Callithrix jacchus: one gene and its partner. The protein of the gene in region 2 purifies or fractionates together with the protein of the main gene of each other region. This does not show direct contact. Links are inferred from orthologs where the notes say so. Each region holds a gene or a part of one and is shown on either strand. Other genes may lie near its edges.

Region 1 (4,629 bases), on a different chromosome or scaffold from region 2:
CTCCTGACATCAGGTGATCCACCTGCCTTGGCCTCCCAAAGTGCTGGGATTACAGGCTTGAGTCACTGTGCTCAGCCTCATTCTGGCACTTAATCAATCAATCCCTGCAGAAGGTTGCTATCTAAGAATATCTTTCAAGATTATAGACCCAGTGTCTGGATCACACAGAGCTATGCAATAATTGGCTCTGAAGAAATACTTGTGGCTGAGGTGCAGTGGCTCACACCTGTAATCCCAGCACTTTGGGAGGCCAAGGCGGGTGGATCATGAAGTCAGGAGTTCAGGACCAGGCTGGCCAACATGGTGAAACCCTGTCTCTACTAAAAATACAAAAATTAGGTGGGCATGGGCATAGGGGTGCCTATAATCCCAGGTACTCAGCAGGCTGAGGCAGAGAATTGCTTGAACCTGGGAGGCAGAGGCTGCAGTGAGCCAAGATCGCGCCACTGCACTCTAGCCTGTGTGACAGAGCAAGACTCAGTCTCAAAAAAAAAAAAGTAAAAGAAATACTTGCTAAATTAGTAATTTAGATTTATATTCATTCATCTTATCTCTTCAACTGGAATGTAAGCTTCAGAAGGGTTACCTCCATGCCTTGTACGTTTCTTGTATTCCCAGACCATAAGAAGGGTAGCTCACTGCAACCTCCACCTCCCAGGTTCAAGCGATCCTATCTCAGCTTCCCAAATAGCTGAGAATATAGTTGCACACCACCACGCCCAGCTGATTTTTGTTTGTTTTTATTATACTTTAAGTTCTGGGATACATGTGCTTTTTTCTGTTGTTTTTGAGACAGAGTCTCACTCTGTTGCCCAGGCTGGAGTGCAGTGGCACAATCTTGGCTCACCGCAACCTCCATCCCCCGGGGTTCAAGCAATTCTTCTGCCTCAGCCTCCCAAGTAGCTGGGATTACAGGTGCCTGCCACTGTGCCTGGCTAATTTTCGTGTTTTTAGTGGAGACGTGTTTCACCGTCTTGGCCAGGATGGTCTTCAACTCTTGACCTCAGGTCATCCCCCCACCTTGGCCTCCCAAAGTCTGGGATTACAGGCGTGAGCCACTGCAGCCAGCCAAGGGCTTCCTTTTCATCACCTTCATTGATATTCTTTAGTTCCACTGCAGGGAAGTCAGCCAGTTTTCTCCATACCACAGAGTGATTCAAAAGTTTAACCACAGACCCTAAATAACTTAGCTCACTTTACCCACATACCACTGTCATAGCATGTCAGGACTCCTTTGACTGTAAATTCCTTTTTTTTTTTTTTTTTTGAGACGGAGTTTCGCTGTTGTTACCCAGACTAGAGTGCAATGGCGCAATCTCGGCTCACCGCAACCTCCGCCTTCTGGGTTCAAGCAATTCTCCTGCCTCAGCCTCCCAAGTAGCTGGGACTACAGGCACGCACCATCATGCCCAGCTCATTTTTTTTTTATTTTTTATTTTTAGTAGAGACGGGGTTTCATCTTGTTGACCAGGATGGTCTCGATCTCTTGACCTCGTGATCCACCCGCCTCGGACTCCCAAAGTGCTGAGATTACAGGCGTGAGCCACCGCACCCGGACGACTGTAAATTCTTAACTGCCACTTTTGTATGAATGTTCTCTCTGCTGTGTTCCTAGCAGTTTGCCATGTGTCTTTGGGAAAAAGACACATTCTCCCTTAGCTACCTTGAATAGATTAGCATATGCTGCACACAGGGAAGAACAGGGCATGCTAATTTAACATGTTCACTCTCCACTTGTACAGACTTTGCACTTTCCCATAATCTCACTTTATTTCCACAATAACAGTGAGGGGCAGTATTGTTCCCATTTATAAAAGAGAAAGCTGAGACCCTAAAACAAAAGTGACCTGATCAAGGTGACATGGCAAGAGCTATTACACTGGTGAAGACCAGCTGGAAATCAGGTTTCCCATTCTGAATAACATGATCTTTTTGCTTAAAATGAAAAATACTGGGCTTTACAGATCCCTCATCTCCAAAGGGAAACTGGTTTGCTTATTTACTGGTTACTTTTGCAAGCTGGCATTTAATCATCACTGTTTACTTGTTCAACTGAATGGTTATGGGATTACAAAATGAGCCCTGCCCACCCATTCTCTAATTCAAACCTTTGCCCACGCTTCTCTGTGGGCTATTCAGGCCAGCAACCCACCTCTCTAACATTGGGCATGTCCAGCAGTTCTCCAAACACGTAGACACCAGGGGCCTCCAGCACCTGATGGATGAGTGTGGCCAGCGCTGCCCCCTTGGCCGACTTGGCTAGGAGCAGAAACTGCTCCTGGTTCTGCCCTGTCACCTTCACTTCCGCACTCATGACTGCACTGAGCTGGGGGGACCTGGGCTCAGGATGTTCAGAGCTGTAAGGAAAGAGGACGTGAAGCTAGAGGTCCCTGATCGCTGGTAGGATGGGAAGCACAGGGCCAAGGGACTGGATTGTAAAGGCACTAAGTTTTGCATGAGTAATCAGATATGTATCGGTCTAGAATTCTGATCTAGGAATCCTAAAGTCAGTCCCCTGGGCCTAACCCCAAGCCCCACCACGTGCACCCCACTGAACCCCAAAACACAGGTTGCAACGGAGAAAGGGGTGTCGCATGGTGTCCACCCTAACGACGACGCTGCCTCAGCTCTCCGCTCCTGTCCCGCACGTGCCCATAACCACGTGACCTCACCCCCAACGAAGCTTACACGTGGCTCCACCCCCTCCCTTAAAGACACCGCCCAGAGACCGTGGGCTCCCGCCGACTGCTTCGTCGTACCCTGGGTCAGACTTTGCGGACTGCTACCTGGAAGCTTTGACCTCCAGCGCACCGGGCGGGGCCGCCGCTCAGTCACCTCCGGCAGCTGTTCCAAGCCTTTCCTGCCACCTCCCTGCAGAGTCGCTCTGGCCACTAAACTCTATGGCGGGCTTCCGGCCGTACTTCCGCTCTTACGACGCAAGTTTCGGCAGGACATGCCCCGCCCCCGCTTTCTGATCGCTGAAGCTCCAGTGCGGGACGCAGGCATTCTGCTCTCCGATTGGTCGCTGGGGGAAGAATGACGGGCCTCTTTTTTTCTACTTTGTTTCAATAAAACTTTATTGGTGGAAGAGCGCTAGCCACTAAATGAGGGTGTCTCCGGCGGGTCCCTGGTCTCGGCTGTGTCTGTTCTTAGCCGCTGTGTCTGTTCTTAGCCGCTGGAGAGCTGGAGATCAGGATTACACTGGTGCCTCAGACAAGAGAAAAGCTGTAATGGAAGGAGTGAAGAAAAGGAAAAAAACGGGATGGGGGAATAAGGGACAGAGAGGAAGCAAAAAGTAATAATAGAAGTTTAACAGCTGAGATCGCTTGGTGGGGTTCATCCACTCACTTTTTTGAAGAGCAGGAGAAACGAAGTGAGAAAGGTAAAAGAAATAATAATAGGTAACATTTATTGAGTGCTTACCATTGGTCAGATATCTTTTAAAATTTTATTCCGTTGAACCTTCACAAATGTTTCCAGTGTGACTTCAGGACACCGTCTACCAAGATTACATATATATTCATACTTGTAGAATGATGCCTTCAGTATATGGACTCTTAATTTCTTGGGGAGGAAAAGACTATGTTGTTCTCACTTTGCAGAAAAGGAAAATGAGGCTCATAAAAATTCAAAGATTTGTCTGGAACTTTTCCAACTCAAAACCATCTTTCTATTTCAACATGATACTTTTATAAAAACAAAAACAACTAACATTTCTATAGTGTGTTATATTTCACAGCAGGCTGGCAGAAGGTCCAGTGAGGGTAAAGTTTGTGTTAAGCGATGAGCATTACTTAATTCATAGGATACAACAATCTAGTAATTGTTATCTCCACTTTCCAGATGGAAAAATTGAGACCCAGGAAAATTAAGAAACTTATAAGTAATGAAAAGATAAGAAAGTTAAAAAGAGAAAGATGAAGAGAAATAGGACTTGTAGTCTGTTAGGGCTAAAGGAACTGCAGACGCAGAGTTTAGAAAGTAAGCAGAAACACAAAAAGGAAAAACAAAGGAGAAAGAGGAGAAAAAGAAACGAATGGAAAAGGTGAAACATAAAAGTGAGGAGAAGGAATCAAAGGCATAAAGGCATAACAAAATATTCAAAGTTGGAAGGAACCAAGGAATTAATGAGTCCAAACTTATTTATTTATTTATTTATTTATTTGGTGTCCACCTCTCCCCACCCCAAGCTTATCTTCTTTGTTCTCTTTCTTTTCTTTATTATTATTATTTTTTTTTTGCTGGGATTTCGCTCTTGACATCCAGGCTGGAGGGCAATGGTGCAATCTCGGCTCACTGCAACCTCCACCTCTGGGGCTCAAGCGATTCTCCTGCCTCAACCTCCCGAATAGCTGAGATTACAGGCATAGACAATCACGCCTGGCTAAATTTTGTGTTTTTAGTAGAGATGGGGTACAAGCTTATCATTTTTAAAGAGAGAAGGGAAAAACGTGTGAAATGAAAGAATGATAAAATAACCCATGTTTGTTCTATTATGCACCAAGTGTTTTATTTGTTGATTTTTTACTTTGTTTTGTTTTAGGCATGGGTTCACTCTGTTGCCCAGGCTGGAGTGCAGTAATGCAATCACAGCTCACTACAGCCTGGATTGTTGACATTTTTATTTGA
Region 2 (3,844 bases):
AAAGTACCTGGCTATAGTCACTTGTATTTTAAGAATTATACGATGTTGTATTCTTTTAGTAAGGAAAAGATGATGCAGTTGTTATGTAGAAGCACAGAAGTAGGAGACTTGAGTTAATGCCCATGGACTTAAATATATTCCCTCTGTTACCAACTAGAGTGTGACCATGGTGTCTGCCATGAGAATAATTGTCGAAATCGATGGATCTACTTCATGGTGTCAATTCAGGCCTATTTTTTTTTTTTCCCTCAGACGGAGTCTTGCTCTGTTGCCCAGGATGGAGTGCAGTGGCGTGATCTCAGCTCACTACAGCCTCCATCTTCCAGGTTCAAGGATTCTTCCATTTCAGCCCCCCAAGTAGCTGAAATTACAGGTGTGTGCTACCACACCCAGCTAATTTTTGTATTTTTAGTAGAGACACGGTTTTGCCATGTTAGCCAGCCTAGTCTTGAGCTCCTGTCTTGAAGAGATCTGCCTGCCTCATCCTCTGAAAGTGCTGGGATTACAGGTGTGAGCCATAGCACCCGGCTGAGGCTGAATTATTAATAGATTCTGTACCTTAGTTGTTAAAACATGGCATTGCAGGCCAGGTTTGGTAGCTAATGCTGGTAATCTCAGCACTTTGGGAGGCTGAGGCAGGAGGATTGCTTGGGCCCAGGAATAGGAGACCATCCTGGGCAGCATAGTGAGACTCTAGAATGTACAAAACATTTTAAAAATAAGATGGGCATGGTGACGTACACCTGTAGTTCCAGCTACTTGGGAGGCTAAGATGGGAGGATTGCTTGAGCCCAGGAGGTTGAGGCTGTGGCAAGCTGTGATCACACCACTGCACTGTAGCTTGGGTGACAGAATAAGATCTTGTCTCAAAAAAGAAAACAAAACAAACATAGTATTTTAGTATAGGGGAAAAATAGATCAGTTAGGAGATTAATTCAACAGGTAGCTGCTTGCTTGATAAGCTGCTAAGCATGTGCTGTATTCTAGAGCTGGAGAAAGGGACAGTCCCTCCACCTGAGTTTACTGAATTACCTAACCACCACAGTCCCATGTGAGGCAGAGAGGGCAGATATCCAGCTTATCCATGGGGAAGGGAACTGAAATGAGGGTCCAGAGACGCCACAAGCTGATTGTTGAATGCTGGATGAGGCTCAGTCAGGTAGCAGAGGATGTCGGGAGGAGGATAGAAAACAGCATGTGTAGAAGCATAAAGAGGAGAGAACATAGAATGTTGATTTTTCTGAGCTTGCTGTGACCAAAGAGTAGGTTTGTGAGGGGAAGTATCAGGAGATAAGGCTGCAAAGGTAGCAGGGACCAGTTACTGAAGGTCCTTAGTTCAGGCTAAGGCATTTGGATTTCTTAAACTCATTGGAGTAATTCGATTGAATGCGCAGTTTAGAACAGACTAGTGGGTTATGAAGTGTGGGTTGGAGGAGAGAAAGATCGTAGTAGGCAGACCATTTAGAAGATGTAGGCCAGGTGTGGTGGCTCACCTCTGATCCCAGCACTTTGGGAGCCCAAGGCAGGCGGATCACTGAAGGTCGGGAGTTGGAGACCAGCCTGAGCAACATGGAGAAACCCCGTCTCTACTAAAAATAAAGATAATTAGCTGGGCATGGTGCCACATGCCTGTAATACCAGCTATTTGGGAGTCTGAGGCAGGAGAATCACTTGAACCCAGAGGCAGAGGTTGTGGTGAGCCGAGATCACGCCATTACACTCCAGCCTGGGCAACAAGAGTGAAACTCCATCTCAAAAAAAAAAAAAAAAAAAAGAAGAAGAAGAAGATTTATGATATAGTCCAGACAAAAAATGATGAGGATCTGAATTAAGGCAGGGAGGGAAGTGAAAAAGGAATGGAGCTGAGAGAGAAAGTAAAACTAAATCATCTGGATTCAGAGAGGTGCTAATAGTAACATGTACATTTCTGGCTTGGGAGACTGGAAAACGGAATAGAGGAAAATGTGAAAAATTCAGAGAGAAGTGGAAGGTCCAGTGTAATCTCTAACTCATTTTGAGACCACGGACAAGTTCTTTCCCTCCTCTGGTCCTTCTGGGTCCTCATCCGAAATGAAGAATGTGTAAGTCATTTTTGAGCACTTCAGGCTCTGAAGTACAAAGCTGTGGTTGGAGTTCCTTTAGTTTGGTTAGTGCTGTAGCTGAAATACAATAGTGTTGTTCCTGTTTTCCAGGGCAAATGACACAGCTTTGTGAACTGATCAACAAGAGTGGGGAACTCCTTGCGAAGAACTTATCCCATCTGGACACTGTGCTCGGGGCTCTGGATGTACAAGAGCACTCCTTGGGCGTCCTTGCTGTTTTGTAAGGGGCATCTTCTTTTATAGTTTTGTGCTTGTTAAAACTGAACACTCTGCACTTTCTGGCTTTATTTTTGGTGTAGAAAGTAAATCATTAGAAACAACATTGAGCTCCTTTGCAAAACTAAAGTTGTAGTAGTTACATTTTACTCATTCCAACTAATCATTGCTTGTTGTATTTTGTTCAGTTTTATCATTTTTATAAACTCCTTTTTGTTTATACAAATTTTGAAAATTTGTTTTAAAAAATGGCCATCTCAATTGTGGGGCCTATAGTTTGCAACATAACAAGGCCTTATTTCTGCAAAGAATAAAAAAATTAGCTGGGTGTAGCTGTACATGCCTGTAGTCCTAGCTTCTCAAGATGCTGAGGTGGGAGGATGGCTTGAGCTCAGTTCAAGGCTTTCAGTAAGCTACAATTAAGACGGTAGGATCAGCCTCCATGACAGAATCAGACATTGTCTCAAAACAAGAAAAAATATCAAAGATCCCAAGCAATGTTGCTTAGAATTCCCTTCAGACAAATTTAAGCTATTTAAGACCAAATTAAATAGAGCTTCCTTTAATTGGGAGTCCTTATAACTGTGTACTTGGTGGTAGAATTCTTCTCTTGATGTTATATTATTATAAATTGGGATATTGTGGTTGTCTTGACAATTAAATGATATAAATAAACTGAGAAGAAATTGACTTAAAGTGAGAGTCTGGCTTCACTTATGCTGGGATTCCTGAGACAAAGGTATGTGTGCAGAGTAGAGTTTAGAGAAGAAACTTGGTCAGAATAGAAGGATCTAGAGCTATGCTCTGCAGTATGGTGACCACTAGCCATATGCAGCTATGTAAATTAAAATTAAAAAAGATTCAGGTGTACTTGCCATGTTTCAAGTACTCAGTAGCCACATGTGGTCACATGTCCATGTCTTAGCACAAATCTGTAACATTTCCACCACTGCAAATAGTTCTGTTGGACAGTGCTGGTAAAGATGTCTACTAAAATTACAAAAAAATTAGCCGGGCATGCTGGCACGTGCCTGTGGTCTCAGCTACTCGGGAGGCTGAGGCAGAAGAATCACTTGAACCCGGAAGGCGGAGGTTGCAGTGAGCCAAGATTGCGCCACTGCACTCCAGCCTGGTGACAGAGCAACACTCTGTAAAAAAAAAAAAAAAGATTTCTACTGTCTTTATTTTCTTTTTCTTTTTTCAGACGGAGTTTCGCTCTTGTTACCCAGGCTGGAGTGCAATGGCGCGATCTCGGCTCACTGCAACCTCTGCCTCCTGGGTTCAGGCAGTTCTCCTGCCTCAGCCTCCTCTGAGTAGCTGGGATTACAGGCACGCGCCACCATGCCCAGCTAATTTATTGTATTTTTAGTAGAGACGGCATTTCACCATGTTGACCAGGATGGTCTCGATCTCTTGACCTCGTGATCCACCCGCCTCGGCCTCCCAAAGTGCTGGGATTACAGGCTGAGCCACCGCTCCCGGCCTTATTTTCTTACTTATATGAAAGAGCAGATGCTGGGCACAGT

Evidence for each region.
Region 1: the proteins of COPS3 (region 2) and COPS7A purify together in Homo sapiens (affinity purification with mass spectrometry; 14 studies listed by BioGRID and IntAct, counting the BioPlex papers as one, with this or other methods). This does not show direct contact. The link is inferred for Callithrix jacchus from reciprocal best matches to the Homo sapiens genes COPS3 and COPS7A.

Annotation. Positions count from the first base shown.
Region 1 is NC_133510.1:20,915,158-20,919,786, reverse strand, and holds the start of COPS7A (COP9 signalosome complex subunit 7a), read right to left. Parts: upstream 2,894-4,629; 5' UTR 2,760-2,893; intron 2,651-2,759; exon of another isoform or gene 2,606-2,650; intron 2,358-2,605; 5' UTR 2,315-2,357; coding exon 2,153-2,314; intron 1-2,152.
Region 2 is NC_133506.1:62,410,581-62,414,424, reverse strand, and holds part of COPS3 (COP9 signalosome complex subunit 3), read left to right. Parts: intron 1-252; exon of another isoform or gene 253-373; intron 374-2,173; exon of another isoform or gene 2,174-2,192; coding exon 2,193-2,322; intron 2,323-3,844. UniProt on the Homo sapiens protein: Component of the COP9 signalosome complex (CSN), a complex involved in various cellular and developmental processes.